4 linked regions of the Arabidopsis thaliana genome follow. The protein of the gene in region 4 purifies or fractionates together with the protein of the main gene of each other region. This does not show direct contact. Each region holds a gene or a part of one and is shown on either strand. Other genes may lie near its edges.

The links.
Region 1: the proteins of FYPP1 (region 4) and AT3G57890 fractionate together in Arabidopsis thaliana (co-fractionation; one large-scale study listed by BioGRID). This does not show direct contact.
Region 2: the proteins of FYPP1 (region 4) and IMPA-5 fractionate together in Arabidopsis thaliana (co-fractionation; one large-scale study listed by BioGRID). This does not show direct contact.
Region 3: the proteins of FYPP1 (region 4) and IMPA-2 fractionate together in Arabidopsis thaliana (co-fractionation; one large-scale study listed by BioGRID). This does not show direct contact.

What each region holds. Positions count from the first base shown.
Region 1 is NC_003074.8:21,435,086-21,443,440, forward strand, and holds AT3G57890 (Tubulin binding cofactor C domain-containing protein), read left to right. Parts: upstream 1-2,998; 5' UTR 2,999-3,185; coding exon 3,186-3,692; intron 3,693-4,203; coding exon 4,204-4,311; intron 4,312-4,399; coding exon 4,400-4,540; intron 4,541-4,685; coding exon 4,686-5,060; intron 5,061-5,145; coding exon 5,146-5,250; intron 5,251-5,379; coding exon 5,380-5,520; intron 5,521-5,858; coding exon 5,859-6,062; intron 6,063-6,173; coding exon 6,174-6,266; intron 6,267-6,360; coding exon 6,361-6,472; intron 6,473-6,566; coding exon 6,567-6,610; 3' UTR 6,611-6,803; downstream 6,804-8,355. Other genes in the region: AT3G57900 (import inner membrane translocase subunit Tim17/Tim22/Tim23 family protein), read right to left, coding at 7,196-7,300, 7,388-7,489; AT3G57910 (D111/G-patch domain-containing protein), read left to right, coding at 7,686-7,811, 7,978-8,355.
Region 2 is NC_003076.8:19,990,580-19,998,023, forward strand, and holds IMPA-5 (importin alpha), read right to left. Parts: upstream 4,094-7,444; 5' UTR 3,938-4,093; coding exon 3,731-3,937; intron 3,605-3,730; coding exon 3,511-3,604; intron 3,410-3,510; coding exon 3,318-3,409; intron 3,246-3,317; coding exon 3,114-3,245; intron 3,033-3,113; coding exon 2,847-3,032; intron 2,778-2,846; coding exon 2,614-2,777; intron 2,528-2,613; coding exon 2,449-2,527; intron 2,229-2,448; coding exon 2,100-2,228; intron 1,996-2,099; coding exon 1,868-1,995; intron 1,786-1,867; coding exon 1,437-1,785; 3' UTR 1,367-1,436; downstream 1-1,366. Other genes in the region: AT5G49305 (importin subunit alpha), read right to left, coding at 60-144; AT5G49320 (transmembrane protein, putative (DUF1218)), read right to left, coding at 4,504-4,885, 5,059-5,285, 5,471-5,635. UniProt on the Arabidopsis thaliana protein: Binds to conventional NLS motifs and mediates nuclear protein import across the nuclear envelope.
Region 3 is NC_003075.7:9,132,256-9,140,495, reverse strand, and holds IMPA-2 (importin alpha), read left to right. Parts: upstream 1-3,080; 5' UTR 3,081-3,361; coding exon 3,362-3,586; intron 3,587-3,674; coding exon 3,675-3,863; intron 3,864-3,948; coding exon 3,949-4,080; intron 4,081-4,195; coding exon 4,196-4,381; intron 4,382-4,463; coding exon 4,464-4,627; intron 4,628-4,714; coding exon 4,715-4,793; intron 4,794-5,150; coding exon 5,151-5,279; intron 5,280-5,434; coding exon 5,435-5,562; intron 5,563-5,670; coding exon 5,671-6,046; 3' UTR 6,047-6,048; exon of another isoform or gene 6,049-6,171; 3' UTR 6,172-6,746; downstream 6,747-8,240. Other genes in the region: AT4G16141 (GATA type zinc finger transcription factor family protein), read left to right, coding at 7,603-7,776, 8,205-8,240.
Region 4 is NC_003070.9:18,655,848-18,663,673, forward strand, and holds FYPP1 (Calcineurin-like metallo-phosphoesterase superfamily protein), read left to right. Parts: upstream 1-2,660; 5' UTR 2,661-3,046; coding exon 3,047-3,127; intron 3,128-3,577; coding exon 3,578-3,724; intron 3,725-3,809; coding exon 3,810-3,877; intron 3,878-4,093; coding exon 4,094-4,151; intron 4,152-4,510; coding exon 4,511-4,621; intron 4,622-4,733; coding exon 4,734-4,784; intron 4,785-4,889; coding exon 4,890-5,033; intron 5,034-5,130; coding exon 5,131-5,226; intron 5,227-5,315; coding exon 5,316-5,387; intron 5,388-5,741; coding exon 5,742-5,825; 3' UTR 5,826-6,205; downstream 6,206-7,826. Other genes in the region: VIIIA (P-loop containing nucleoside triphosphate hydrolases superfamily protein), read left to right, coding at 1-111, 197-343, 447-514, 603-1,259; AT1G50380 (Prolyl oligopeptidase family protein), read left to right, coding at 6,435-6,804, 6,952-7,235, 7,337-7,531, 7,751-7,826. UniProt on the Arabidopsis thaliana protein: Catalytic subunit of protein phosphatase 6 (PP6). Dephosphorylates phosphorylated phytochromes, with a preference toward Pfr forms.

The sequences.
Region 1 (8,355 bases), on a different chromosome or scaffold from region 4:
TCTTTCCTTCAAAATTTACCTTAAACGTCTAAATCTCTATCACGATCCGAATTCATAATTCCTACATTTATGTGTTTTATCTATCTAGACATGTGCATGCTTTTTTTACTTGATATAGGATTTTTTTATCTTCGTTTATCCAAACAAACAAATAAATGGTCACTGCTTTTGCTTTTTAACAAGTTTTTATTTTCTGTCTATGTAAAAGCCATCATGATTCGTTTAGGTGAATCAGAAGAAAATAACTCTGGGTAAAATTCCAAAATGTATACTATCAAATGGATATAGATAGACGACAAGTTTTAAACGCGTTAGCGAACTCTTCTTGTGGCTTTGGTATTTTAGTTTATTAGGTATAAAATGGAAATCATCCACACTTCGGAGCAATTGTTACAAAAATGCGATTATCTTTCTACCGACTAATGTTGGGTAGACATAATTAGTTTACAAAATGTTCTTTTTCCATTTGTCACCAAAGTTTTCTTCATTATTTTATGAAACAAGACTTGGGCAGTTGGACATATATACTATATTAGTAGTTAAATTGCATATGTTTGATCTGTTGATTTGTATATTCAGTTCTTAAACTAAATAACAAGTACTAACTATATTTCAGTATTTGTATATAATCATTTAGTATCGAAACGGTCTCGTGGTCGTGGCACCTTTAATTGCTGAGAGGGCCGTCTTTTACTTTTCGTTCTAGCTTTATGATGTGCCACCGAGTAGTTAAGAGAATGCTTCTGCTCCAAGTATTTTGACATAATTTAATCAAAAGTATTAGCTACTTTACACGGACAATAATCTAATTTTATAATTAGAGTAAGATAGAAATTAAAGAAGATATTGGTAGTCGTTGCAAATGACACGTGTTGATCATGCTTTGCTCGCATTTGTATAGCTTCGACTTGAAGGATTTCAGTCCACCGTACGTTTACCACGATCGAGTCACCCACTACGGTCATAACTAATACTATAATTTGATAAGTGTAATAAGAAGACAAATGATAAAAAAAAAAGAAGAAGACAAATTTGCTAAGATGACAGTTTGTAATCCATATCTTATCACATCTACAAGAGAGATATATACAACTCTTTTTCTTAAGAGATGATTAATGCGTTAAACAAGTTTAACCAGTTATCAAAAATATGTAAATCTTTTCTCCAGAGGTTTAAAGACAACGTCACGGTAATTGTTTCGTCGAAAAATGACTATTTTAAACTGTACGGTTCATGGTCACTTTTTGTGTATTTACATAAAGAAAAAATATTAAATTTTATACTCAGAATTAGGTATGGGCACGAAGCGGATATCCGGAAAAATTATGATATTTGTTATTCGATTCGTTTTAAACGAATACTTGATTTTGTGATTCGCTTTACTTCGAAAATTTCCAGATATCCGGAATTTCGAATATCCGGAATTTTTTGTGATATTTGCGGATATCCGCTTTGATACATTTAAATATTAAAAAAATATGTATACTATATAACTATATCATATATTCAAAAAATTTATCCGTGCGTTCCTTAATTGGTGTCTCCGTGTGCTTTTAAAATAAGTTCTAAATACCAAACATAACCGTTGTTGGTATCACCGGTCAACAAAATATTATCAAACTAATTCCAAAACTAAAACCCGATAGTTTTTTGATGCCATTGATCAAAACATAACATAAAAAAAAATGATCAAACAAACATCTTAACATAAAAACATAAAATGACAACAATACACAAACTATTTATGATATCTATATATAGATATACTATATTTTCTAATATATATAAAAAGATACGGATCGAAGCGGATATTCGATTTTTTAAAAAACAATATTTATTATTTGATTCGATTTTTACGAATACTATATTTTTCTATTTGCTTTGCTCCAAAATCTTACGAATATTCGGATTTTTCGAATCAAATTAAATCAAATACCGAATCGAAACGGATCAAATCAAATCAAATCAGAATATTGAGCTAGCTGAATGAATGAGATAACCTAAGAATCCAAAAGTTGATAGTGTTCCCTTTCCGAATTCCAATAGTAGCTTGATAACATTTATTTAACGGCGATAAATTCAACCGTTAGTTTGATTACCAATCAAATAATTGCTTGCAATAGACGGATGAAACGAGTGGTAAGAATAGGTGATTGAAACAAACGGTTAAAAGCTTAAACAAAATAGGTGAGTTTGCAACCTCTCTTGTTCACCATTGGAATATTTTAGTTATTTAACGTTTCTTAGATTTTTAAAACTGTAATGTATTTGAATTATTTACTAAAGAGTTTTGTTTTTCTTTGTTTTTTAAATATTTTTAGTTATTTATTAAATATTTTAATTTAGTTTTTTTTTTTTACTGTTTAACCGTTTGTTACTAATCATAACTATTATTTAACGGTTCATTTTAAATTATTTATCATTTTTTCTTTTAATATATTTTCTAACCGTTTTTTTTTATCAGTCTTTTTTGTAAGTGTTAAATAAAATAACCGCCTTATTTAAACGATATTACCAATTGGTTTAATTTTAGGTTGTTCATCTTTTCTAACCGTTTTTTTCTACCCGCCTTTTTCTGTAACTGCTAAAAAACATAACCGTCTCATTTAAACGATGTTTACCCATTGCAAACCATTTTCCTTAAACAAGCGGACAATATTTAAATTGCAATGAAAGCGAGTTATGAGTTCTTTTGGCCTAAACTTCCCAATTTTATCTCTCTTTTTCCCACTAATCTTCTAACAATTTTAATTAACAGTGACAACTTACAAGTACTTAGGTAACCAAGTATATTTCCCTATTGTAAAACCTAATTATGAGTTGTGATGATCACCTTTTCTCCTTTTGACGAACGCTTAGGACCTAACTTATTGCAACAATGGCCTAACTAAAACTTAAATGCGATTTGCATTCAATTCTCAAATGGGCCTCTTTAGTTAACATGTTATCTCCGTTCATCTGACGTGTCATAGCTCAGATCAAAGGTTAATCTACTCGTAAATCCAACGACCAAAGAAACGAAGCGTACGTTACTAACATACACGTGCACGCACTGTAACCATCTCTCTCTCTGCTCTTCTCCTTCAATGAAATGATTCGTCACCCAAAGAAAGATCTGCAACTTCACCACCGGACCAGTCTCTCTCTATCTCTTCTGTCTCTCTACCTCGCGCGACGAATCAATCATGACTGAAGAACAAGACCTCATCGACCAATCACCACCACCTTCAGCACCCGACCCTGAACCAAACTCGAGCACGAATCCGAATTCAGTAATCCATCCAAGGCGTGTGTCTTTCGAGCACGGACTCCTCCCGATCCAGAAACTCGTTTTCACCGACCCGATCCAAACCTTAGCCCCTGTCAAGCAGAAGCTAGCCGATGCGGCTTCGAATAACCGCGTTGGATCGGCTGCAATCGCCGACGTTCTCCAGATCTCCGGCGACCATGCGCGTCTCGTTCTCGAGACTCTCGGTTCGGTGCTTCATTCCGAGTCTGACCCTCTGGTTCGGGCGAAACCTGAGGAAGTTGATTCCGTCGGAGCTGATTTGCGGGATCTTATTTTGTTCCTGTACATTCAATCGTATAAGAAGTTGCTTCCTAGGACGCATAAGGACTCCGCAGCGGTGGCTGATGTTTGGCCATCGACTTCAGCTTTTGATGGATACTTGTCTGCGTTATCGCCAATTCAGGCAAGTTTCTTACTTTTTTTGGCCCTCTTATTATAATGTGCCTCAATCCCAGCGCCTGCGATTTGTTTGGTATTGAAATGGAACTGTTGTACTCGAGTATGGAATTGGAACGTGGTAGAGAATAACTTATTTCCATTTCGCATTGTATTTAACTAAAATTTGCAATGCAAGTTTAAGTTTTCTGAGTCATTTGATTTACCTGAAACTTAGAGTTAAGCAATGTCGGAAATTTGGGTGATTAATTGAATTGATGGTGGCTATAGTTTCGTAACAATTCTCAATGAGGAAGATGCTTACTTGTATTTAATTGCCAGTCCCCTTTCTCTGATGACTCTGGGGCAATGGTAATTGGTTAGTTTACTAACTAAAGTCAAACAGTCGCCAGCTTGCTTTGTTTTGTGGTTCGGAATCTGATTCTTTTTCCGTTGTACCTTATTTTGTTTGGTCCTTTCACGTGGTTTATTTGGTGATAATGCTTGGTGTGTTCTTGAATTTTGACTCGGGTCTCCAGTCCTGTAATATTCTGTTTCCTGTGTGGTATGGATGTTCTATTGAGTCTTTTAGAAAACAGTCATATAATCTTAAGCTTTTCAGTGTTTTCTACAGTCACTGTTCTTTGGTATTCTATCGTTTCTCATCACATGGGTCGAACCAACTTTATTGGAGCTAAAATTGTTATTTATATCTCCTTTTCATCATTTCTGCAGCTTGTTCGCAGCAACAGCCGTCGATTTATGCCATCACAGGCAGATGATGAAGCTCATCAGTTGTCATATCTGCAAAAACATTTAGCAAACATCATTTCTCTCCTTGCAGAGCCTGTGGAGGGAGAAGGAGATGAATCATTGGTAAGTTCTAATCTTTCTTATATTCTCAGGGGGTGTCACTGTTCTAAGCTACAAGAATATAAAATTCTGATGTTGGAATAAGAATTTTTTAGGAAATGAAAGAGAACACAAGTTAATTTTTTTTTTCTTGTCCAATATCGTTCAGGTTTTCTCTATGGAGGCGTTCGAGCATCTGCGTTTTCTTGTTCAGTTTGGTGATAAGGGATCTGATGTATCTCCATTGAGCCAAGCTACTCCTTTTTTTGCAAATTCTGATCCGGATATGCCCGCTGTTCCAGTCCCCGCTTCCCAAGTGCATGACTGGCTTCTGCAAAACATAGCTTCCGCTTTAGAAAGCATTACTGAGAGAATTTCTGGAAAAGAGAACGGACCTTCTAACGATCAAGATGATGCGATGTCAGATGTTTGTGCTGCTCCGAACAAGGTTGCACCTAGTACTAGAGGCCCGTGTTTAATCGAGGGAGTCTCCAAGACTTCACTTGTTAAGCAAGCCTCCGATCTAAGGGGTAGATCTGTGAAGGTCTGACTGTTCCTTGTTCCGTTTTTCTTCCAGTCATGGAATCTCTGTGCAAGCATGTCAACTCCTTGTTTTGTGTATTTTTCAGGTTGTCAATTGCCATGATTCTGTAATTTATCTTTTAGCACCATTGCGATATGCAACTGTGCACGGATGTTCTGATACTACTATAGTTTTGGGAGCTGTTGGCAAGGTATGGAAACAATGCTTCTTCCTTCTTTATCTTTTCTGAAGATAGTCAAAGCAACATTTAACAAGTTATAATATCTGCCAACTTTTATTAAAAGATGTATCAAACATAATTCCGTATTTATTTCTGCAGGCAATAAAAGTTGAGCACTGTGAAAGAGTTCATGTGATTGTAGCTGCCAAACGAGTGTGCATTGCCAATTGTCGTGAATGTGTATTCTTCTTGGGAGTCAATCAGCGGCCACTTATTGTTGGTGATAACCACAAACTGCAGGTGAAGCTTCTCTTTAAGATTGTGGTTTAATTTACAAGTTTTATGTCATGTTGCTCTTATTTACCTTTCTGATATTAAGGTAAAAAAAATTGAGTGGCTAGACTTTTTACTAGATTTAGTTTGGTTAGTTTGGTTAATAAGCCGTTTCGGACACGTCATCAAGTCTAGTGGAAACAAACTTGGAGGGGTGGCTAGACTGCTGCTAGATACGTTTAGTCAAATGTTTTCCTCAAGAAGGTTTTACTGGTTTTTAAGAGTGCGGGCATTGTCAGATATTGCTTCTAGTGATTATGGGCTTCTATTTTTAAAGTGCTGGCATCAATTTGACTTTGTTTCAGGTCGCTCCATATAATACATTTTACTCTCATTTGGAAGAGCACATGAGGGAGGTAGGGCTTGAGCCAACGATCAACAAATGGGACAAACCATTGGCCCTGGGAGCTGTGGATCCACATGACTCCCTGTCACATCCTGCCGGTGTTGCTGATGCACAGGCTGAATCAGCTGCTTCTGTAGACCCTGACCAGTTCGTAAACTTTTTGGTACATTTTCTATTTGGGTCTAACATTTACGTCAATAATTGGTGAATGCTTTTCAGTGTCATGAAGCATCTAATGACGTGTTTTTCGGTGGTATCAATGACAATGGCACAGATCCCAAACTGGTTTAGCGGCGCGGAGCTTGGTTCGACGAAAGACAATCCATTTCCATTGCCAGATGCTTATATGGCAGCTCAGCAGAGAAACGTATGTTTTAAAGTTATACTTAACCAGATAAACAAATGCATTTGTTATTTTTGTCCATATCTGATCTTGTATCTGCAATTTTTTTTGTCATCAGCTTAAGAACTTTGAAGAAACAAGACGATCGTTAAAAGAGGCGCCTCTAGAAGAAAACCGGAAACGAGAGCTATCAAGTGCACTCCATGTTTATTTCAAAGACTGGCTTTACGGTAAGAAAACTTTCTCTGAATCGATCCCTACTTTACTTTATTGATATGCATCATTCATTAGGTTTTGACTTAGTCTATGTTTTTGTTGCGACAGCATCTGGAAATATAAGGCAACTCTACTGCCTACAAGGTGACTAATAAGAATAATAGACCAAGCGGAAAGTGTCTTGTTCATGTAGAGCTCCTTCGATCATATTTGGCATATTGCTAGTGAAGAAACCCCACCCCAAGACCAAAAGAAAAAAGAAAAAAGAGAAATCAGCCTGATTCAGTGATTTGTAGTTTGGAACCAATACTTCACAACGTAACTTATCTGCACAGAAATACTCTCTTAAAGCTTTCGTTTAGATTATTGTTTTCTTGATTTCTGCTTTTCTTTCCTTGACATTTCAATCCATCGTTTTTGTTCCCTTCTCTATTGAAAATCTCATCTTCAAATAGAGCATGATGACTTGAATTGTTATAAGTTATAACTTGTAAGCAAAACTGTTTTGATAGATAGTCTTGTCTTGGTCAAATAGATTTAAGTGGACGCAAGAGTTAGGCTACTACCATGGTAGGTGCAAATTTCTGAAGAAGTTTTAGAGCTCCAAAATTTCTCATATTTGCAGAATCTCATATTCGTAGAAACATCCAAACAATGCAACATAACATGAACATCTCAAGATACAAAAACAGAAGGACATGGGATGGAACAGAGATATCCATGAGCGCAGGATCCAGCTAATAATGAGTTCTTGCTACTTTAGTCATTGTAATGTGTGCTCCATTGAAGAAATCTCTCTTAGCTCTAAAGTTCTGCACCAACTGTTCAACACCAATGAACACCTCCAATGGCAGCAAAAGTCAGCCCGTGGCTTCCCATCATCTTCAACGTTCTGATGAGTCCTGGAAGAGCAACGTTTCTTTCAATACGAGGGACGTCTTTCCAGTTGCAAAACCAGTCACAGCATCTTTGAATGTCTTCATCATCGCTCCATTTTCCTCTTCCAAGTATCTCATTTCTGTAGGATCCATGATAATTTCTTCAACCGATAAAGCTTAGTCCTTTTTATGTCAAACGTGATCTAACAAAGAAAATTGGCAGCAACGACATAGTGGAGAACACAGCCAAATACTATTATTATTGGGCCTAATTAAAGCCCATTAATGATTCTCTTTTTTTTTTTGTTGTTCTCCCTTCCTCTCAGCGCGAACGCAAGCTCCGTCGGCAATGGCAGAATCGACGAGAAATCTGACTGGGCTTGGAGGAGAAGCAGCGAAAGAAGAAGATGATGAGTACATGGGAGACCTTTCTCAGTTTATTCCTCAGGAACTTAGCCAGACCTCCAAAAGAAAGGTATCTTCAGGCCAAAATTTTCATCTTCTTATGTCCACAATTGTCAAGCTCCTGAATCCAAATTTGTCCAACTGATTTTGAATAATCTCCAACAAATTTCGTTTAGTTTGATAGCTGAATGAGATTTTGGGATTATATTTAAATTCGTATATAAATGCTTTTGCAGGAATCTGAGAAGAAAACTGTAATCGTAGAACCATCACGGAAGAAGTTAAAAAATCTCAATTGGCACGAGAGACGAAGATTGGAGAAAGAGAGGAAACAGATAGAAGAAGATGAGCAGACATTGGCTCGTATAGTAGACACTCCAATAGGAGAGTCTAACATAGGGTTTAAGCTATTGAAGCAAATGGGTTACAAGCCAGGTTCTGCTCTTGGTAAACAAGGCTCTGGTAGAGCTGAGCCAGTGACTATGGATATTCGAAGATCGAGAGCCGGTGTGGGAAGAGAGGATCCACATAAGGAGAAGAAGAAAAAGGAGGAGATTGAGGCTGAGAATGAGAAGAGAAAAGTGGATGAGATGTTGGAGGATTTTGGGTCTAGA
Region 2 (7,444 bases), on a different chromosome or scaffold from region 4:
CTTAAAGAAATGTTAAAAGATGAAATCTTTCAGATCGAAACAGAGGAAGTTTTATTTACCATCTGATAGAATCCTGTTGATCTTGATAGCTGAATCAAGCTGTATCAAAGGATCTTTTGAATAAAGGCCATTGGCTAAACTCATAGCTGCTGAAACTTTGTGTGAGATCGTTTAGAGGAAGCTTGGGTCTTAAGCAACGTGGGTTTTCTCTCTTCTTTGACCTATCCAGAGAAATTTGCAAAACTTGAAGAGAAATCTGAGCTGAAATGTGAAAGAGGCAAAGAAATTTTGCAATTCAGTGCAAGAATGCAAACAAGAATGGAGCGAAAATAACAGATGAATTTACTACGACAATATCGTTATCAGAACCGGCTTGTTTGGTTTGATTTAATTTCGACTGAAACCGGTTCAGTTCAACCAAATTGATTCAGTTTGGTTTTGGGTTTAAATCCGGTTTAATAAAACCCAAATTTCAACATGTTAGGCGTGTTGGTTAGGATCATCGGATCATTGCCAATCTCGAATTACCCCCCAAATCGGAGTGAAATTAGGGTTTATATGTCTAATCACCTTAGCACCACCATGACGAAGACCACGATCAGCACAATTCTTCTTGTGGTTTCTCTGTTCGATCATAACTTGAGCTCTTGCTTTCATGGTTTCTGAATTGACCAAGAAGATCTGAAACAAACACAGAAGCAGATCATCATCATTTCCAACAGTTCATCTTCGATCACCCGAATCAGAATCAGATCATTTTATCTTCTCACTGTGGTCTAGCATTCTCTATTTTCAATCCAGATGAATTGTTTAGGGTTTTTGATCGAAGCTTAAGAAAAAATAGCAGAGACGAGAATGAAGAAGAGTTAACAACGAGCGAAGAAATAATAAAGCATCTCTGCACCTTCTTACTTGAGCTTGTTATCGAATTCATCTAAATTCTCAAAGTGGCGACCAAATTCGATGATTCAATTTCTCCATGGAAACGAAACACAAAGTGGTTTCGGAATATATGGGCCTTTTACGTTATACCAAAGCCCATAGCATAAGAGCCCATCCATTTCGAAAGAAAAAAAAAAAAACAAATCCGTCCCGCGTCAAAAAAACTGAATCCATCTTTAAAGTTTGACCGTTAGTTCGGTAAACAAATAATTTAACCCTTTCTTAATTTTGACCGTTAGTTCGGTAAATTTGAGTAAAATTTTTTCCTAAAAGACAAAACAATGTGGATTCCAACAGGAAGTGGAACTTGGTTCTCTAACAGGAAGTGGAACTTGATTCCAATATGATGAGTAGCTGTTAGAGAACCAAGTTCCACTTCCTGTTGGAATCCACATTGTTTTGTCTTTTAGGACCATCATATTATGTGCATGCTTTTGGTTCAATATGACAGCTATTTCTTTACATCAAAATCTAATATCAGATTATGTGGGATCTTAACGAGAAAAATCAAACTGGAATTCCGGATGAGAACAACCATCACCACCTTCATCTTCCTCTTCAACTAACCTTCCATCTTCCTCTACAAGCCCGTATGTTTGCAGAATCTTCACAGCCTTCTCGTAGATCTCATTGTTGCCATGGTGCTGCAAGTTCTCAATCTTTTCTAGCCCTTCTGCATCTTCAATCATTTGAGAGTAACAGTTCACGTCTCTTAGGTTCTTGTCCACCTCTCCAGCAATCAAAATCATTTCCAGTCCACCTAGAGACACTAAGATGATTCTTAGATCTGGACAAACCAGGATGTCACATAAAGCTTTTATGCAATTCTGCTCCACCAAGTATCTGATACACACCAATGGATATTGTGAATATAGATGATCAATAAGCATGAAAAAAGTGATAAAGAAAGAAGACAGGGATGTACTTGATTTGATTAGGAGAACCACCCACGGAAGCATTTGAAATTGCCCATATAGCTTCTTTCTTTATGTCAAATTCAGCATGTTGTGCCAGATTGACCAACGATGGAATCAAATTTGCATCAATAACCGACTGTTATCATCATCAATGCAAGAAAGACAAATAGAAAATATTTAGTGATAGCAACGTAAATTGTTCAAGTTCTGCAACAGTAACAATCACAAACTCATGCTCACCTGAATTTGTTCTTCTAAACCGGCAGTGATGTTTGAAATCGTCCAGCAAGCTTCCCTCCTTATGCCTCTCATATGGTTTTGAGTAAGCAGGTCAGCAAGAACGGGTAAAACACCACAATTGATCACACACTGAAAAATAAGTTCAAAGAGTTATTTGGTTACAAAATCTAATCTCAACACAGTACTCAAGCAACATATAAATGAAGTGTTCTCCAGGATATAATCATCCAAGATACAGGATTACAAATTAAGCTTTTGATAGTGCTATTGCTTTGAAAAACAATAAATTCACACGGTGTACAAGAGACGTGTTCTTGAAGGCTCCATCAAAGGAATATGAATTACATACGTGAGTCTGCTGACTATTTCCAGAAACTATATTCCCAATGCAACGAAGTGCAGGAACAAGTACAACTGGAGAAGCGTGTCTGCAAAAGAAAAAAATGGCGAGCCTTCATTATCCAAACATGTATCAAACGGTTAAATTTTTTAATATTTGGAGAGAAGTACTAACTGGAGAAGTTCAACTAGTCTTGGGACAACACCCGCCTCGATCACACTTTGGATATTTTCATTTGAAGCATCAGACAGATTCGAAAGCGCCCAGCAAGCATCTATCAAGACTTGTTCATCATCCGAATAAACAAGTCTTTTAAGTACAGGGAGAACATGTTTCACCTATAAATCATGTTTCATAAGTTTAAGTATTGCACCTATAAAACTGAGGAAATAGAGAAGTAAGAATACCAGGTCAAAGGGTGGTGAAGGCTTGCCACGGAAGAAGTTTGATAAAGTCCAAGTCGCATTTCTAAGTATCGACAATGTAGCATGGTTATTCAGCTGATGCAACAGTGGAATAAATGCCCCAGAGTTAAGAACAAAGTCACGGCACTGTATTGAATCACCAGCAACATTACCCAGTCCCCATATAGCCTGCAAATTAAGTGTAACATCAAACTCTTCAAAATTTGAACTCACATATTTAACCATTCATACTCAGAAGAAGCACTATACCTGCTCACGGACATCATCATCAGGGGAAGCAAGAAGCTGAACAAAGAGTGGCACAACACCGTGATCAATCACTACCTTGGTATGCTCAGATGCGCCAGAAGCAATGTTTGTTAAAGCCCAAGCAGCCTCAAACTATAAAAAAGATCAAAGAATTCAGAACCAAAGATTACACTAATCATCAAAGATGGGAACTTTAAGTCTAACCTGAAGCTTAGGGTTATCATCCTTCTTAAGAAACTCTACAAAACGTGGCACAACTCCAGATTTTATCACATTATCAGTAGGTGGACTTCTATCTGAACAATATATAAAACCACAAGACTTTAAGAAACCATTCAAGTAAATATAAGTTCGTATCTTTTTCAACTCAAGATCAAAGAAAAGTAAAGAGTTTTACCGAATGATAGAACCACCCTGAACCGAGTTGTGTACTCAAGCTGCAATGAAGGATCATCCGAGAAAACCCCAGTGATCATATTCGCTATCTCCAACTACAACCATCACCAGAGAGGATCTAATTTAATTACCCAATTCGAAAGCATTCGAGTATAATGATAAAGGTCGTATCTTTCAAAACCTAGGTTTCACTAATCCAAAACCAAAGATCAAACTTTTACCAAACTCTCAAAGGGGTCGTTGGAAATCAACTTGTAATCAGGAGGCAAAACTTTTACACGACGTTTCTTCATCAAATTTTCGTTGCGTTTACTCTTGCGAATCTCGACTAAAAAGTCTTCTCTTCTTCTGCGTCCTTCTTCCGCATCTACAGAGACTTTGTAACGGATTCGACGGATCTCTGTCTTCGTGCTCGGTCGCAAGGACATAGCTTTCTCGATTCTTCGACCTCTCTAAATCAATTCACAAAATCGAAGCGAAACCCTAGAAATTTGAACTGAATGGGATTTGCAAAGTGAAGAAGAGAATGCAAGAGTGGTGAAGATGAAGAAGAAGCGACAACAGTTTCAATTTGAAGAAGCGGGAGGGTTTTCTAATTATCGTTTTTAATTGTTAACCGTATTTATACAGTAGATTGAATCATAAATCATTGATAATCTAAATTTAAGATAAAGTTTACAATCATATTATTAAGAGCTCCAAATTGAAATAATTAGTCAATAATTATTATAAGCTAAAATACTTGAATCTAAACCGAACTAAACCGTGAAGTTGGTTTAGTTACTCGTTACCGACGATAAAAAGAACCATATTTGCAGAGTTTACTCGTTAGATGTGTAGTGTTTTCTCCGGCGAAGGAAAACCTACTTTTCCGGTAAAGTTCATGTATTGATTGGAAAAAGTAGGTTTTGGTTTGTGATTTTGAATTGCTTATGTAAGAAGTAAAAACATTGTTTTTTCTCATATGATTATGTTAACTACTATACATTGTACACTATACTATATGTGCAAGTTGCTTTAAAGAAACAAGATATTCCAAAGACGTCGATTCATCTCTAACAGTAGCAAGACCTTCTCGAGCAACCGTAGCCATCCGATTTGTAGGCGATCTTGGAGGAGATGCATAAAGAACTGATGCCTCGATGATCTCTCTATGTGTGTTTTCAAGATCCTTAGAGATTCGATGTGCTTGAAGAGCGGTTAGGTAAAGTCCCGTGGCTAGAAAGACGGTTATAAGTGAGAACACTCCGGCCGCTGAAAACAAGCCTTGCCGGATTACTAGACAACTAGGTTTTGGTTTAGACCAGTTCTTTAGATGTCCTGATTCCACACTAAGTGCAACCAACAGTAGAACCTCTCCAACACCAAAGCAAACCCTTATAGGAACAAAAAAGAATAATATAATCACAAAATTATCATTAACTTAAGCTATGGTCAGTAACATAAATATGTCATTTCACGATTGCTTATAGTTAGGATTTTTTTATTTTTATTTTATTTTTTATAACTACATGACATTAATTCGTTGCGTTAGAATAAGTCTACGTACCATGTTGAGACGAAGAAGAAGGCAGCTTGAAAAGTGAGCCTCTTCGCAGGAACAGAGTCAGGATCCCACTCAACCAGAACCAGAGACGGCGATGTGGTGACTGCGATAAGTAAGTACATGTGGAAGCCCACCATCGCCACCGCTAGTCCCACAAACGCAATCGCACCACACAACAACGGCGTTTTCCCGCTACCATTATACACGCATGTTTTGCTTCCCCATGTCGCCTATTGCAAATGATTGACAACATATTAATGGCAATGATATAACTTATACTAAATACTATTATAATCGAACGATATGGTAATTAATATAAAACATGAATCAATATAGATTTCTGATTTATTTTGAAAATATAAATGATGAAAACATATGAGAGAAAGTTTATATACATCCCTGTATAGTAATGTACCTGAGATCTTGTGGCTTCGGCATAGAGGCAGAGAACAAAGCAGGAGAGGCCAAAGATTATTGTCAAAACAGCGATGAAAATACCGGTTTTGCTGCTGAGATCTGTGGTTTTAGGGTTTGGAACAAGATCTTGATGGGTCACAGCTCGCACTCTTGTTCTCGACATGTCTCTCGTCAATTTCTAATAGATAGGAATCGAAGTTACATGTTTTGAGAGTTATTATACTTTGATTTGTTTTACATATATGAGAGGCATTGAAAGTGGGAAGAAAAGAATAAACTGGAGTATATTTGATAAATAAATGAAAAAGGAGAGGAGGATAGAAGAATTGCTTCAGCCAAAGGTTGCTTAAAGGCCAAGATTCGCAGGTTCTCTTTCGGATGTCTTTTTAGAAATACTATACTGTTTTCGTATAGTGTCTATTAAACGATGATGTGTAAAATATATAATGTGACGAGAGTTCGTTAATGGAGTTAGTTGGATGATTCTTTTCATATATTACACGTGTATAAGAACATTCTTTTCTTCTTTTTATTTTGTGTTCATACAAAGAACATCGTACCTTTTATTATCTTGAAAGTAAATAAAGATAAAGATAAAAAGATAAGGTGATGAACTTTGTTCGTGAGTCGTGAGTGACTGAGTGTTGTCTTATTTCTATATACTATTTATTAGCATAATCATGTGAGGGCGTGTAATTTTTAATAGGAAGCCAAAAGCCTTCCACACCCCACCATAAATAACCAATAGAGAAGCGGTTTCTGATACTCCATTTCAAAAGCAAAGACATATAGTGACAGAAAAAACGAGCTCGTGTCACTGATATCTTTAGCTTCGAATTGGATCAACACTACTTGTCAAGTTGTCATCACCTTAATGTTAGTGTCTCGCCGATGTTGTGTTTGCCGTTGTGATAGTATATATTTTTATTGTTGCCGACACTGGTCGCATCGGTTTTGAAAAGAACATGGTTGTGTATTAAGTACTCATCACTCATGTGGTATTTTCATGACAAAGTTTGTGATGTCGTCACTCGTCGTAAGAATTTTGAATTTAATGTACCTAAATTGTGCTATATGAGTTATGAAAGTTGAGGTTACCATCGCCAAAGCTCGAAATTATGATGTGAAAATATTGGGTTTAAAATTTTACTTATACTCAAAGTCCATGGTATAAGCACCTTAAGGCATATATAGATTAGGATCTTTGACAAAAAAAAAAAAAAAAAAAAAAAAAAAGCCATGAACTAGGATCCAAAATTTGTATGGACATTGAAATTTTGATTTTTTAAAACAAAATTGATATATATAAAAAAAAATTAAATAGAGTAAAAACTGTTGATCTCCCCCAATAGATTTGCATTAGTTAGTTTTTTTTATTTTGAACTTTTAACTCCTACCAGATTATTAAAGTAGTATTTTATTTAGATAATTTTTTATAGTTATGATATATGTTTTTTGGTTGTTTATGATTTATTTATGATATATGAGTTTCAATAACTTTTTTTTTAATCAAAGTTTCAATAACATTAAAAAGAGGGGAAACGTTATAACATGAATAGAGCCTTCAATAACGTTGGATCGTCCATGGTGCTATTGAAGTTCTTTGGTCCGAATATCTATATATATTTTTTTTCTTAGAGACAATTCTCGAGGATGACAGAAAAAAAAAAGAAAAAAGAAAAAAAAAAAAAATCTCTCGGATCCATCACGCAAGTATCAAAGTGAATCTATAAAATAGGTTTATCTTTATATATTTCATTCTGTCTATTTTTGTTCCTATTTATTCATATTTATATTTTTAATGATATTTTTTTTTCTTCTTTAACTCGTTAAATCTAATATATAAAGCCTCTAAAAAAAATAGTTTCTTCAAAAAAAAAAGGGAAAGCAAAAAGAATTGAAAAATATGATCAAAAAGTTCTAGAATTTTTTTGCATTATTAATAAACTTTTAATTTTCTCTCTTTATTCGA
Region 3 (8,240 bases), on a different chromosome or scaffold from region 4:
TTGTCTTCTCTGGATGCAGCCCTTACCGACATCTCAACCATCCTGGACGTATAACAATAATCTGACTTCATCATCAAATCGTACACAGATTGATCAGCAGTTCCAGAAGCTGTGAGTATTCTCCCTTAATATAATTGTCGGTAATTCTGCTTAATAGGAATTCAAACACTATAAGCTCTCTGAGCTTTAGGAACCCTGAGAAATAGGGGTATGCCATCCGATATGTGTCACTGGTTTTCTTGCTTTACATCTACCTGTTTCTGTGATCACCATATATATACGATGTTTGGGTCACTTATTAGTTATTACCAGAAAAACTACCATTCTGATGGACTAAACTGCCAATGCTGCTTGGATTTTCTATTTATGGTATCATGTTTATTGGTTGCGTTTTGTGGAATTCTTCTTTGGTTTTGGGATATTGAAACAAGAAATGAGTCTATGAGACTCAAGTGCTACTCCATATTAATCTGGGATGATCATTGAGACTTTAATTGTGCTCCTGAACCTGCAGATCTTTTGATTTCCTGCCTCCAAACCAAGCAACCTTGTCAAGACATTCATTTCTAGGTCCGAATGGTCTTAAAAGGCAAATGGTTGCACCCAAGTCAGAGATAAAGGTATAGTGCTGATCATTGTTACCTTTCTCACATTTTCTCACTCTTTCTTTTACTCTTGGTCCAATTCAATGTTTAATTATCTTAGATCTGAAGGAACTGAGAAAAATCTTTATTTTGTATGGAATGATAGGTTCAATATCCGAGTAATACAGATTGGGGTTCTGCGGACAATTCAGGGTAAGTACTCATCTTCTGTTACCTTCTAAGCTTTTCCTTAAAGAAGTCATGGCTATTTCAAACTGACTCCATGTATTTCTGCAGTTTAATTGAAGCTGGACCTAGCAGTTCCTCAGCATCACTTAATGGTGATTCTCAAGAAGTCTCAACACTGAACTCTGTGCTCTCCTTAGATGATGGTCGATGGCAGCGTCATTCTGAGGCAGTAAATTCCCAGTTTATTAGCGACGCAACTGAAGACCCGTTTCAGTTTGTCGGTATGAAGCAACCTTCCCCTCCTCCCGTGCTTGCTCAAGTGCATCAAGAGTTAGCCCAAATTTGCCCATCTAAAGTAGCTGATCCTAGACCAGGACCTGCAATTCCTTCCCTAGAAGGAAAAGAGGGCAGCAATTCTTATCAGCATTTGCATGTGGTATGTTCCAGCTGTATCTTCTTTCACTTTTGTGCAGTTTCCACCAATTCCATAGTGTTTGTGAGAGTAAAGTGGAAGGGATATGCATATCAAGTAGAAAATTATCCATGATTAGTCTAATTATTTGGTATGTGTTCAAGAATCAACACATTAAATCATCGAAGTATTGGATTCATGACCATTACAGCTTCTTAAAAGCTTGCTAGAATCGGTTCTGGAAATCTTTCTCTTTCACCTCTTCTTAATCTACTACTAATGTTGTCACCCTTTATTTAAATTTGCTGAAGCCTGTGCGCATAATGGATGATTTCCTAAGGCTAGCTCGGTCAAACACAGAACGGAATTTAGAAACTTGTGGAGTACTTGCTGGTTCTCTGGTGAGTAGATGGAACCTTTGCATTTATAATTTTTGATTCCAATATCATGATCAGCTCGCCATTACTTATATTCTGTCTATTTGCCATGTTTACAGAAAAACAGGGTTTTTCATATCACTACTCTCATAATCCCAAAGCAGGAGTCTACCTCAGATTCTGTATGTTCTTCATTTTTCTTAACCATTTACATCAATAACAATCTTTTTAATTCTCGCTGGTATGCTTCTCACACTTAGGTTCATCATCATTTGGGTAATGTACAGTGCCAAACACTAAACGAGAAGAAATATTCGAGTACAGGACAGACTCTCTCTATTTCCCTTGGGTTGGATTCATGTAAGTTCTCTCACCCGAACTAAAAAATCTTCCATTTCCAGATAATGACTTACCAAAACGTTACTCAGAACAATTGTGAATCCATATATCCACTAGTTGATAAGCTTTATCGATTCGTCTTGCTAATTTACATTTTGGTTTCAGACACACCCTACACAAACTTGCTTCATGTCATCAGTTGATCTACACACACACTACTCGTATCAGGTAACAAACTCCCCTTATCAATATCTCTATGTTAATCACTTATGATGCGATTATAGTAAAACCATCATCTATATCTATTGTCCCAGATAATGCTACCGGAGGCGGTGGCAATCGTAATGGCACCAACAGACGAATCAACACCTCATGGAATATTCCATCTCTCTGATCCATCAGGCGTATCTGTGATCCGAAACTGCCAGCAACGAGGCTTCCACCCACACGAAGAATCAGAAGACGGTAACCCAATCTACGAGCATTGCTCACACGTCTTCCTCAATGCCAAACTCAAATATGAAGTCCTCGATCTCCGCTAAAAGCCAACCTCCATCACCATGTTATTATTTTTCCTGGAGTCTTAACTTTAAAGAGACATTAAAAAGACCTCAGAGATCAGATGTCTCAGCCGTACATATATGTGTATACTTCTTAAAAAAACCTTCTCTTTAAAGTTCCAAACTTGGCTGAGCCGTCTTAAGTAATGATGATTGTGTTTATTTATAACGAGTACACTTTTAAATTCGTATGCACCATTTCACAAAGCCAGATGTTTGATTAAAAAAACATAAGTATTTTTTTCTGACGATTTTTTCATTTAAATTAAAATTCATTATAGTCTGTGGGAAAGACCTGATACCATGAAAGTTGAGGTGAAAATCTGTTATTAGCTTTCATCAGATAAGAACGGAGAGAGAATAACAGATTTTCACCTCCTAGATAATGCTACCAGAGGTACTTGCAATCGTTATGGCTCCAACAGACGAATCTACCCCAATATATGAGCATTGCTCATACGTCTTCCTCAACGTCAAACTCAAATGCGAAGTTCTCTACTCTAAACTTTCTTAAACGAATATAATATACTTTTAAAATTACTTTCACAAAACCAAGTTTTGCCAAAAAAAAAACTGTATTTTATTTTAAATTAAATTTAGTCGGTGCGAAAAGACTAATGAATAAACAAGTCAACTTAAGTAAATTAATGGTCTCTGTATCGAATCTTAAAATTTAGATTTACCAAAATGTTTTTGTAAACCAACGAAATTCAATCTTTCTCTCTGTGCCTTTTTTCCTCTTTTCTCGTTCCCCTCTACTTCATTTAGGGTTTATCATCCTCTACCAATCCGCCGATTCTATACATACACTTTTCATATATATACATACATCGTCTCCACTCTCGTTGGCTCATTTTTCATTCACCGCCACGAAGCAAGAGGAGATTCGTATTAGCCACCATGTCTTTGAGACCTAACGCTAAGACTGAGGTTCGCCGGAACCGCTACAAAGTGGCGGTGGATGCTGAGGAAGGAAGACGGAGGAGAGAGGACAACATGGTCGAGATCCGTAAGAGTAAGCGTGAAGAAAGCTTACAGAAGAAGCGTCGTGAAGGCCTTCAAGCTAATCAGCTACCTCAATTCGCTCCTTCTCCTGTTCCTGCTTCATCAACTGTTGAGAAGAAGGTAATATTACTAGCGATCTGGAACCGTTTCCTAGGATTTGATTGGTTTAGATCGATTCGATTTTGATTTTGGTTTTGGTTTTGGCTAGTTGGAGAGTTTGCCTGCTATGGTTGGTGGTGTTTGGTCAGATGATAGAAGTTTACAGCTTGAAGCGACTACTCAGTTCCGGAAATTGCTTTCTATTGAGCGTAGTCCTCCGATTGAAGAAGTGATTGATGCTGGTGTTGTGCCTCGGTTTGTGGAATTTCTCACTAGAGAGGATTATCCACAGCTTCAGGTTTGGTGGATCGTTATGTATCTGTCATATTTTGCTAGAATTGTCTTCTGATACTAATTACTTGTGTGTGTGTGTGTGATTTCAGTTTGAGGCTGCTTGGGCATTGACAAACATTGCTTCTGGGACTTCAGAGAATACAAAGGTGGTCATTGAACATGGTGCTGTTCCGATTTTTGTTCAACTATTGGCTTCTCAGAGTGATGATGTCCGTGAGCAGGTAAGATATGTGTTTATGGTTTTTTCTCATGACTCAATATACTGTCAATTTTGTTTGTTTTCGGGAACAAGCATGTTCTAAAGCTTGTTTGTTTCTTAATCTTTTCATGTGTAAGGCTGTGTGGGCATTAGGGAATGTTGCTGGTGATTCTCCACGGTGCAGAGATCTTGTCCTTGGTCAAGGAGCTTTGATACCATTACTCTCTCAGTTGAATGAGCATGCTAAACTCTCGATGCTGAGAAATGCTACTTGGACCCTCTCTAATTTCTGCAGGGGCAAGCCACAGCCTCCCTTTGACCAGGTTTGTCTCTCATTCCTATCTTAATCTCTGCCCAAAGATGAAGGAGTTTTTCTTTTTAATTCTTGTGATCTCTTAATAACAGGTCCGTCCAGCACTCCCAGCCCTTGAACGCCTGATTCATTCGACTGATGAGGAAGTGTTAACGGATGCATGTTGGGCTCTCTCTTACCTTTCCGATGGCACAAATGACAAAATCCAATCTGTCATTGAGGCAGGTGTTGTTCCTCGACTCGTCGAGCTTCTCCAGTGAGTTTCAAATCCCATGATTTCACCGTGCTTTTGTATAATGAATGTTATGTGTTAATGAATATTATCAATTTTATTTTGCTGTAGGCATCAATCACCATCTGTGCTTATTCCTGCCCTTCGTAGTATTGGTAACATTGTCACTGGAGATGATCTGCAGACACAGGTATGTTTGTTCTTTTATAGTGTCATTCATTCATATTATTCAGGATACATGGTCCAATACTGATGGGAAGAATGAAATACACTGGCTAGAAAGCTGAATCTGAGTTTGTTGATAATGACATTTAGTTGTCAAAAGTTACTTGTCAAATTCTTCCTAGATGAATCTCTAGAATGGGAACTGTCAATTCTTCCCAGATTTTATTTCCCCCCCTGCATGTTTTTTACCCTAGTTATGCAATACCTAACATTCCTTTTGAATAGTTAGACTAATTTAAGGCAGTATGTATAATACTCTTAAGAATCTCACACATGTACCATTCCTCACTTATTTTGCTTTCTTTTTTGGTTGGTTCTACAGTGTGTAATTAGTCATGGTGCACTTCTTAGCCTTTTGAGCCTTCTGACTCACAATCATAAGAAGAGCATCAAAAAGGAAGCTTGCTGGACAATCTCAAATATCACTGCTGGAAACAGGGACCAGATTCAGGTGAACTTTTGCTAAAGATTGTTGTTTCTGCTCAGCTTATCAGTTTCTCATAAACTAATCACTAATGTTGGAAGACATGTTTCAGAAGCCTTTTTGTTGTTTGAAGAAAGATGTTCTGTGTGTTTATGTTCTCTAATATTGTTGTGGTATTGCAGGCTGTGTGTGAAGCTGGTTTGATTTGCCCTCTTGTCAATCTGCTTCAAAATGCGGAGTTTGATATAAAGAAAGAAGCTGCGTGGGCAATATCAAATGCCACTTCAGGTGGTTCTCCTGACCAAATCAAGTAAGATTATCCGATATAAACTCCATGTTCTGTTGATCTCAACTCCTTTAGAATCTTTGTTGGTTATTTTTCAAACAGTCAATTAAGTTATTCCGTTGTGTGTTTTAGGTACATGGTGGAACAGGGAGTCGTGAAACCACTGTGTGATCTTTTGGTGTGCCCTGATCCAAGGATTATCACTGTGTGTCTGGAAGGATTGGAGAACATTTTGAAAGTTGGGGAAGCTGAAAAGGTCACAGGAAATACCGGGGATGTAAACTTTTATGCACAGCTGATCGATGATGCTGAGGGATTAGAAAAGATTGAGAATCTGCAGAGTCATGACAACAGCGAAATCTATGAGAAGGCAGTGAAGATTCTTGAAACGTACTGGTTGGAAGAGGAAGATGAAACTTTACCACCTGGTGATCCCTCTGCACAAGGCTTCCAGTTTGGAGGAGGTAATGATGCAGCCGTACCACCAGGTGGATTCAACTTCCAGTGAAGGTAAAAAAACCTCACTACTTGGGACTAATTTATCTAAGCATCTAAGGCTAGACTAGCAAACAGAGTAAATCTGCCTGTGTGTCTACCTTGTGTGAATCTGTGAGTCTGGTTTTGCTTCCACAGGAGCTGAACATGACGATTTGAAGAGTCGAAGGAGCTTAAAGAGTTTGGGGGCACTGGTTAAAAAGGGTATGATTAGAGAGTCTGGTCTTCTGTGTAAAAGTCAGATGGGGTGCCTTACTTAGTCTGGCCTGGTCCGGTCAGATCCAGTGGTTGGTGGGTTTGAGTCATGGAATAAGCTTGTTGGGGGGGAGTTGGGTAGGAGTCATCAAGGGATATTTATTTTTGGGAAAGGGTTTATAAGTTTTTAAAGTGTGATCTGATGAGAATGTGTCTCTCTGGGTTTTTGTTACATTTGTACTACACAACACTGCAAAGTCAAACATAAAAAAGTTGGTCAAACTTTATTTGGTCTTATTGGTGACATAAAAGCCCAATTGGTTCGTCTCTTTATTGTTTATAGTAAATGTTTTTTTTTATAATCTATTTTAGTGCGGTCCAAGTCATTTTGGGCTATTGTCTACATATGCACGCGTATCTAGTTTCAACATATTTCCATTAATCGATGTTATTAATGGTTATCGTCAACTTCAAGTAGGGAGGGTTTCAATAATAAAAAAATCCTATGTTTTGTTCAATCCCTGTCGTTTATAAGCGTAGGTATGCCTTGGACCCAAAAGAACTCAAATATTCATAAGTCGATTACACAAATTTAAATAAGATGAAATTGACCAAAAAGAGAGATGTTTTGTAATTTTCATACAAAAAAAGTTGCACTACACGAGCATGTCTTCGATATACCTAATATTATTACATAAATTTTTCGTATTTCATTGTGAAGAATTACACAAAATATCTAAAAGACTGGTAAAAAATGCATGCATATCTCTAAGCCCAATTAGGGAAATCTAACGTGGCAAACAACCACAACGAGTAAATCCAATGTATTTCGTGCGCCAGGTTTTGAATTAAAATTTCAAATTTGGTACCAAAGCAAGCAAGATACCAAAAAACCCCCTTCCACAAGATCTTTGTTACAAGTTGTTGTTGTAAAATGATTTTCCCTCTTCTTTTTTCAGTTTGTGGTTGTTTTATTTTTTGGCGGGTGGTTCTATAGTAATAAAACACCGCGCTCGAGGGTAAAAAAGTAATTAAGAAAGAGAAATCTAGGGTTTATTAGTCCCCGCCTCCTCCTTTATTATAAAAACCCTCTCCGTTTGTTTTATCCGTTATTCTTCTGCGGCGTCTCTCTCTCTTCCTTATCATCATCATCTTCACTCTAAACTTCACAGAGAGCCATTCAAGCAGAAGAAGAGCTCTTTGATCCTTCTCTGCCATTTCCGTTACTCTCCTTTCTTCTGTTTCAGAGTTTTCTATTCTTCTCAATCCTATCTCGCTTCGAAGTGGATCAATGTGAGTTTCCATGATCGTTTTTGATCCTTCTCTTACTTGTAGTTGATGATCACGTTTAATAATTGTCTTTTTCTTTTGTAGATGTCAATGACGGAAGAAACCAAGACGACGAAGCTCGAATCGGCGGGAGATTCGTCCGATGTAGACAACGGGAACTGTAGTAGCAGTGGAAGTGGAGGTGATACGAAGAAGACATGCGTTGATTGCGGAACAAGCAGGACTCCTCTTTGGCGTGGTGGACCTGCTGGCCCTAAAGTAAGGATCATGATCTCTCTCTACCATTTTCTTTTAAACCCTTAAAAATCCAAGCTTTAAGGTCTCATGTGTTAGATCTAGTCAAATAGGTACTTGAATCCACTTAAAATGTAGGTTGATCTTGTGTGCTTAGCTCTGTTGCTAGTGGGTTTTGTCTCATTGATGTGATCATGTGTATACATAGTCTAGGTATGCGAGGTTTGTGTCAATCTGTGGTTGATATTTAAATTTGTTATGTGATCTCTATGTTTTGTTTTGATTCTGTGTTTGAAGCCTTATTACTAATTGATCAGGTTAAGATTATTGTTACACTGTTTTTATGATGCCTTTTTTACTAAGAGATGGTTATGTCTCTTTAATTTTAGATCTGTTTGATGATTGTTCACTATTTGTTCTCTGGTCTGATCATGGATTGACTTTGTTTGCAGTCATTGTGCAATGCGTGTGGTATCAAGAGCAGAAAG
Region 4 (7,826 bases):
CAAGGAATCGCACTCTGCATGGCATTTTACGTCTTCAAAGTTATTTTAGAGGGCACCAAGCTCGCTGTCGTCTAAAAGAGCTTAAAACCGGAATTACTATTCTTCAATCATGTATTGCCCCTTGTCTCATTTCAATATCTTGGTTTGTATTTGTTATGTCGTTAGAAACCATACCTCACACATCCTTCTGTTTCAGTTGTTCGTGGAGAAAAGATGAGAAAGGAATACACGGAGTTACTGCAGAGGCATCGAGCTTCTGCTGCTATACAAAGCCATGTTAAGAGAAGGATTGCTAGCCAACAGTATAAAGCCACAGTTGATGCATCTGCTGTAATACAATCAGGTAAAATAGGGTTGATTAATTCTCATGATTGAAACAAATTAAACCTCAAAATATATTTTTAAAAAATAGAAGTTTCAAGAAATGCTGAAACCTTTTTCTGTAGCAATTCGTGGAGAGCTGGTTAGAAGATGTGCGGGGGATATTGGATGGCTTAGTTCTGGTGGCACCAAGGTCCTCTCAAAGCTTTCATTCTCTTCGTGCATTTGACTACATGATATATATGCATATTGCTAGACTCTTAAACCAATTCTTTATGTAGAGAAATGAGTCAGACGAGGTGCTAGTGAAGGCATCATATCTTTCCGATCTTCAGCGTAGGGTTCTTAGAACCGAAGCTGCTCTTCGTGAGAAAGAAGAGGAGAACGACATCCTCCGACAAAGAGTCCAGCAGTACGATAACCGGTGGTCTGAATATGAAACAAAGATGAAATCCATGGAAGAAATTTGGCAAAAGCAGATGAAATCTTTGCAATCCAGTCTTTCCATCGCAAAGAAAAGCCTAGAGGTTGAGGACTCAGCGAGAAACTCGGATGCATCGGTGAATGCAAGCGATGCAACAGATTTAGATTCAGGAGGTAGTCATTACCAAATGGGCCATGGCAGGTCAAGAAGTGTAGGCGTGGGTTTAAGCGTGATAAGCCGGTTAGCTGAGGAATTTGGACAAAGAGCTCAGGTATTTGGTGACGACAGAAAGTTCTTGATGGAAGTGAAATCTGGTCAGGTGGAAGCAAACTTGAATCCGGACCGGGAGCTACGAAGGCTGAAACAGATGTTTGAGACATGGAAGAAAGATTATGGAGGGAGACTAAGGGAAACGAAACTGATACTTAGCAAACTTGGGAGTGAAGAAACAGGTGGTTCAGCGGAGAAGGTGAAGATGAATTGGTGGGGGAGGTTGAGGAGTACTAGGTATTAATGGTTACTTCCTTTTCTTGAGACGCACGTCTCCTTTTCTACACGTTTGATGTAACTACGGTTTTTGGCTTTGCTGCTAGAAGTGAGAAGGCTCCTTGGGACTGAAAGAGTCATGTTTTTCATTTGCCACCCAAATCTATTGGCAAATTCAGTAAATAATTTTTATATTATACAGTATATCTATTTGTCAAGGATTCCAAAGTCCAGTGAACCATTGCTGTATTTGAATATAAATAGTCGTTGCAAAAACAAATCAATATTTATATTTCTTAAATAGTTAAGTTTTTTATCAAGCTAATTAAAATGGACATAGCGAGAAATAACTACAAGGTGGTAAACTATGATAATAATATAAATTTCCTTACAAGTTTGTTTGTTTGTAAACATATGGAGTTAGAAAGGGAAAAAAAAATTGTATAGATTTTATACAAGATTGTTTTGAGTTTAAAAAATCTTTATCGTGTTTGGACAATGTGTATTTTAAAAACTATTTAACTACTAGTTTTTTTGGCCGATTTCAGTGATATCTCGACTTAGACTCTACAAAAATTTAGATAATTTGATGGATAAAATTACATATGATAAATCATGCACTTGTATCAGATGGTCAGTTGGTGGAATCCCTCTTCAACAAGTGATCTTTCTTGGAATGTTGTCGTGGGTTAAAAAAAAACTCAATCCAGCCCAAACCCGAAATGAACATGTCTGAGAAAAATCATTTCTATTCTTGCAGCTGAGTAAACTCTTCACAATTTAAATTTCGAATTACCTTTGCGATGCATCACTTTTTTAAGTGGAACTAAGTTTCGGATCACCTCTCGACCAAGTATAAACCAAACCAACACCAATATATACTTTCCGTAATATTTGGCCCTCCGACTAGTGATTTTTTCGGATGTAATTTGAACATTGGAGATTTTTTGGTGAGACAAATTCCATTTTGTCATTTTTAGAGGTCATCATAACAATACTTTTCCTTCTCAAATTATCCCTAACCAGAAGCCAAATGGGAAGACCCAAACATAAACATTGAAATGAATCGAGTGAGGTTCGCTCTTGAACGATCGTATTGCTAATGCCTATCCAAGATCATTGATTCATTTCTAACATATCCCGTACGGTCTCCCACAAACAACCTTCCTCAAAAGTTCAACATCACATAGATTTCGAAATGTGTCTTTAGACACAATTTGTTTAACAAGACTTTTAAATAATTTTTTTTAGGAGTTTTTAATTATCAAAAAGGTCTTACTCAAATTCAACAACACATATATCGAAATGTGTTTTTTTAAAAAAATTAAAAAGAAGAAAAAATACTATAAAGAAGGTTTAAGTATTTGTGGAATTTTATTTAGGTGTTATCAATTGTCACATTCAAGTAGACAAATAAAATTACCAAGAAAAGAATTGCAAAAACATTGAAAATGTGTAGTATACTCCATTAAAGATTTGTGTAATGAAGTAATAGATAAAAATTAAATTGATGTTTAATATGTTGCCAAAAAAATGATTAAAAATAAATATCCAACGAATAGAGTTTGGGGATGGAGGAAGACCAAATCGGGTTCGGGTCGAGATTGTTTGGTTCGTTGTGTTTCCCCTTTCTCTCTCTCTCCCTCTTTCCCCCTTACGTAACCCTAAGCGGACGGAGCAATGCTCTGCTAGATCTATCTTTCTTTCAATTCTTCACCAGAGATCGTCGAGACTCACCATTGAAATCGAAGAAACAGCACCAATTTCCACTTCACCACCGAAAGAGAGAGACAGAGAGGATAATAAAAGGCCGCCATGGATTTAGATCAATGGATTTCCAAGGTTAAAGACGGCCAACATCTCTCTGAGGACGAGCTTCAACTTCTCTGCGAATACGTACGCCTTCTTCTTCTTTCTTCTTTCTTCTCTTGCTTGCTTTCTCTTCCCCGAATATTCATGCATCTACAAAAACCCAATTCTTCGCTTACTCTTTTGAGACTTTAGAGCTTGCTTTGTGGCACTTTACTTTGAATCTGGTCTCTCTCCCTTACTGTTTCCTTTGCCATTTTGGTCTACGGATTTTAGGGTTTTTCTCTCATTTTTCCAATAGAGGATTTATTGACTTTGCTATTTCAATTCTAAATTCTAAGGAATTAGGGATAAGTTTAGCTCTTCTTTAGCCAATTTATGGATGCACCAAGTCCACGCTTGCAAACTGTTATTTGAGGATTTATTATAGTAATTTTAGTGTTGAAACTTGTAGTAGCAGCCGTCTTCTTCTTTTTTCATGACAATGATTTGCTAAGATACTCTGGTAATTCACAAGATATTTTGACTATTATATAGGTGAAAGAAATTCTTATTGAGGAATCAAATGTACAACCTGTCAACAGTCCTGTCACCGTCTGTGGTGATATCCATGGCCAGTTTCATGATCTTATGAAACTTTTCCAGACCGGAGGTCATGTTCCCGAGACCAATTACATATTTATGGTATAGACTCTGACTTTGGGCGTAGGCTCGTATGACATATCAATATGTAACACATAGTTTAATTATCTGTGGGGGATTTTCTCAGGGGGATTTCGTTGATAGAGGTTACAACAGTCTTGAAGTTTTCACCATTCTTTTGCTTCTTAAAGCAAGGTAAGATTTTCCGTAGAAATTGTGCGTTATATATGTCATGGATCGTCATCCTTCCGTTTCACACTGTATATCATAGTTCTCTTGAGAATGCTCTTTAAGCTGTAAACGCATTGCTCTACTGGAAAATCGATTTAACTTGTATTCCAGGAAATTTATATTCTAACTTACTTTGCTGTGAGCTTAAAATCACTCGTTTCCTTGTATTTCAATATGTAGACATCCAGCCAATATCACTCTTTTGCGTGGAAATCATGAAAGTAGACAGCTAACTCAGGTATGCATTATTCTAATCCATTTATATCTATTGTTGCTGACTTGCTGTGCTCTTCACGCAGTTACTGGTTGAGAAGTAATTTTCGCTCAATTGTTATAACTAGTTTTGAAAGTTTATTTTGTACATGTGGCAATGCCATGCTAGATATAGGCATAGATGTTAACTAAGATGCATTTTATGTGAACCCTTTGCAACCATAAGTTTTCTTCTCGGAAGCTCTTGATTTATCTCTATCCTACACCATATCCTATATCTTTTAACATCCACTGTCAAGGACGAAGATTGTAGTGATATTTTGTGCCCTGCAGGTTCATTTTTATAGTTTTCTTAAATTGTCGTACCAATTTTATATTTGCTAGGTGTATGGTTTCTATGACGAATGCCAAAGGAAGTATGGTAATGCTAATGCTTGGAGATATTGCACGGATGTTTTTGACTATCTTACACTTTCAGCTATTATAGATGGCACTGTAAGTATTTCTCAGCTTCTTTGGCATTGTGTTATGATGTGTTCTTGTATAATTTTATGAATGCATAAGTTAGCTGTATACCATATTAAAACGTATTGCATCCTCAATGTAGGTTCTATGTGTTCATGGTGGCCTTTCACCTGATGTACGGACAATTGACCAGGTTAAAATGTGCTATTTTAAATTACTTTTGGTTTTCACCATGCAAGTGTTATTTATGATTAGATTAAATCTCATTTACTCATTTAGATGTTATTTTGTTCTCTAGATAAGATTGATTGAGCGGAATTGCGAAATACCGCATGAAGGACCCTTCTGTGATCTTATGTGGAGTGATCCTGAAGATATTGAAACATGGGCTGTCAGTCCACGTGGAGCTGGTTGGCTTTTCGGGTCCAGGGTTACCACTGAGGTATTTATATTTTTTTCTGGGGTTGAAATTTGAATAAGGTGTGAAAAGAAATAAATGTATTTCAGTTCCCTGATCTGTGGTTTTGCTTCTTGTGCAGTTTAACCATATTAACAATCTTGATCTAGTATGTCGCGCTCACCAGCTTGTACAAGAAGGTCTCAAGTACATGTTCCAAGATAAAGGTCTTGTAACTGTAAGTGCCTTGCTTCCTTATGATCATTTTGGATAGTTGGAAGTATAATCTGCTTGGTGATGTTTCTTCTCTTTATTTTTTTTGTAAAGGTGTGGTCTGCGCCTAATTACTGCTACCGTTGTGGGAATGTGGCTTCTATATTGAGTTTCAATGACAACATGGTGAGGCATTTGTTTTCTCTTTTGTTACTGATCTGCCACAATATCTTGTTTCATGTTCTTCTTACTTTTATGCACTCGTCTTCGGATTCTACTTTTCCTTTTTGATTAAATAAGTTACTGCCTTTGATACTTGTCTCTCGACCCAAACATATACACATGAGTGACTCTTGTGAGATAGAGTTATGATGTTTAAGCCATTTATTTAGTAACAATTCACAGTTCGCGTGGAATCAGTCTGTCCATATTGATTGTGCTCTGTGTGTTACTTTTCATATATAGACCTGTTTCTGGGAAGTGTTTAGGATCTGGTCCTCACTGACAGTAATGATTTGTTAAAATATGCTTAATTACCAGGAAAGGGAAGTGAAGTTCTTCACGGAGACAGAAGAGAACAATCAAATGAGAGGGCCAAGGACAGGTGTTCCTTATTTCCTGTGATTCATGATGATGATCCTACATCATTATTAGTCTCGTATTGCTCTTATCAAGTTAGCCATTATCATGATTGCCATTGGCTTATGTTCTTTCAAGGTATATCTTCTGATGTTGTTTACACTTCCATTGTTTTTTTTTTCCTTTTTCCATTTTGGAAACATTTTCTTGTGAAAGTGAATGTCACTTTGGTAATTTTAGTGGTTTTGATGCACTTTAACCTGAACCTCTTCTGGATGTTATTATTATACGTGCTTTCTTTCTTGTTTTGTTTCATCTTTGTTCTGTAAGCAAGACCAATTTTTATCATCTCAGCTTATTTGCAGTTTAGCACGGTTTGATTAGGTTCTGGGTTAATCTCAGGCTTATAAAATTCATCAAGCTCAAAAATAGTCCACTACAAGAACATAGAAGACCATTAATCAACATTCAACAGTAATTTGTTTCTAATCTAATTATTTGGTTTTGTTCAATAATCCTAGCAAAAATTCACGAAAGAGTTAATAATTTTGTAACCGGAATCATAGATAGGCCGGTTTATCCAAACCGGATATGACCTGTCCTCTATTAACAAACTGGTCGCGAGTCTCTAGGCAACTAAAACGGACACGTAATATGATAATAAGGCGTGGACTCGTATCTCTCGGCACTCACTTTCTCGCGACTCGTAGTCGTCTTCTCCACTTCGATACTCCTCTCTCTTGCCTCGTTCCTCTTGTTCCTCGCCGCCGCTCTATTCTACGGCTGTCTTCTTCTTTTTCCTCTTCCTCTGAAACCGGAGCTGCGTCAGTGCGGTTGACATCACCGAGAGACATGGCGGAATCGAGATCCCCTCCTGTAGCGAAGAAGGTGGAGCATGTGATGGAGATGTTCGGTGACGTTAGGGTTGACAATTACTACTGGCTCCGTGACGATTCTCGCACCAATCCCGACATGCTTTCTTATCTTCGTGAAGAAAATCACTACACTGATTTCGTCATGTCTGGTGAGTCTTTTCAAGTTGCCTCTGTCAGTGACGTTGTGATACTTAGGGGATTAGGGTTTTTAGCTTTCCTTGTTTTCAATTTGGAGTATTAGTGACTTGTTGATTATGCAAGCTTGTGATAAATTAGACTGGAAAATAAAAATTCAGGGACCAAGCAATTTGAGAATCAGCTGTTTGCTGAAATAAGAGGGAGGATCAAAGAAGATGATATATCTGCACCTCTACGCAAGGGTCCTTACTATTATTATGAGAAAAATCTTCAAGGAAAGGAATATATTCAGCACTGTAGACGTTTGATCACTGACAACAAAGCTGAGCCTTCTGTCTATGATACTATGCCAACTGGTCCAGATGCTCCTCCTGAGCATGTGATATTGGATGAGAATACCAAGGCTCAAGAGCATGACTACTACAGAATTGGGGCCTTCAAGGTTTGACTAGAAAATAGACTTTAAAAATCGTCCTAAGAGATATCCTTTTCAAACTTGCTCTTTACTAACTTGATGTTTCATTTTCTTGATTCTTTTTATAGGCGAGTCCCGATCATAAATTGGTGGCATATGCAGAGGACACAAAAGGTGATGAGATATATACAGTGAATGTCATCGACTCTGAAGCCCTAAAACCAGTGGGGCAACAGCTTAAAGGACTTACTTCTTATCTTGAATGGGCTGGTAATGATGCTTTGCTCTACATAACAATGGACGAAATCCTGCGACCTGATAAGGTTTACCTTCAATCTTTTCCCACCCTACTGTCTTAGTGTATAGTACTGGAGGAAGGGATTAACTTTTGCATGAATATAGATTTTACCGTTTCGATCAATTGTTGACATTATACACCTCATAGATGCCATATTTTCTTACCAAATTTGACTGTACTTATTATGAGATACGTCAATATTTTTGGCTTTCATGTTCTGATCTTCATATATTCTTTGTAACAGGTTTGGTTACATAAATTAGGGACAGAGCAGAGCAGTGATGTATGCCTTTACCATGAGAAGGATGATATGTTTTCTC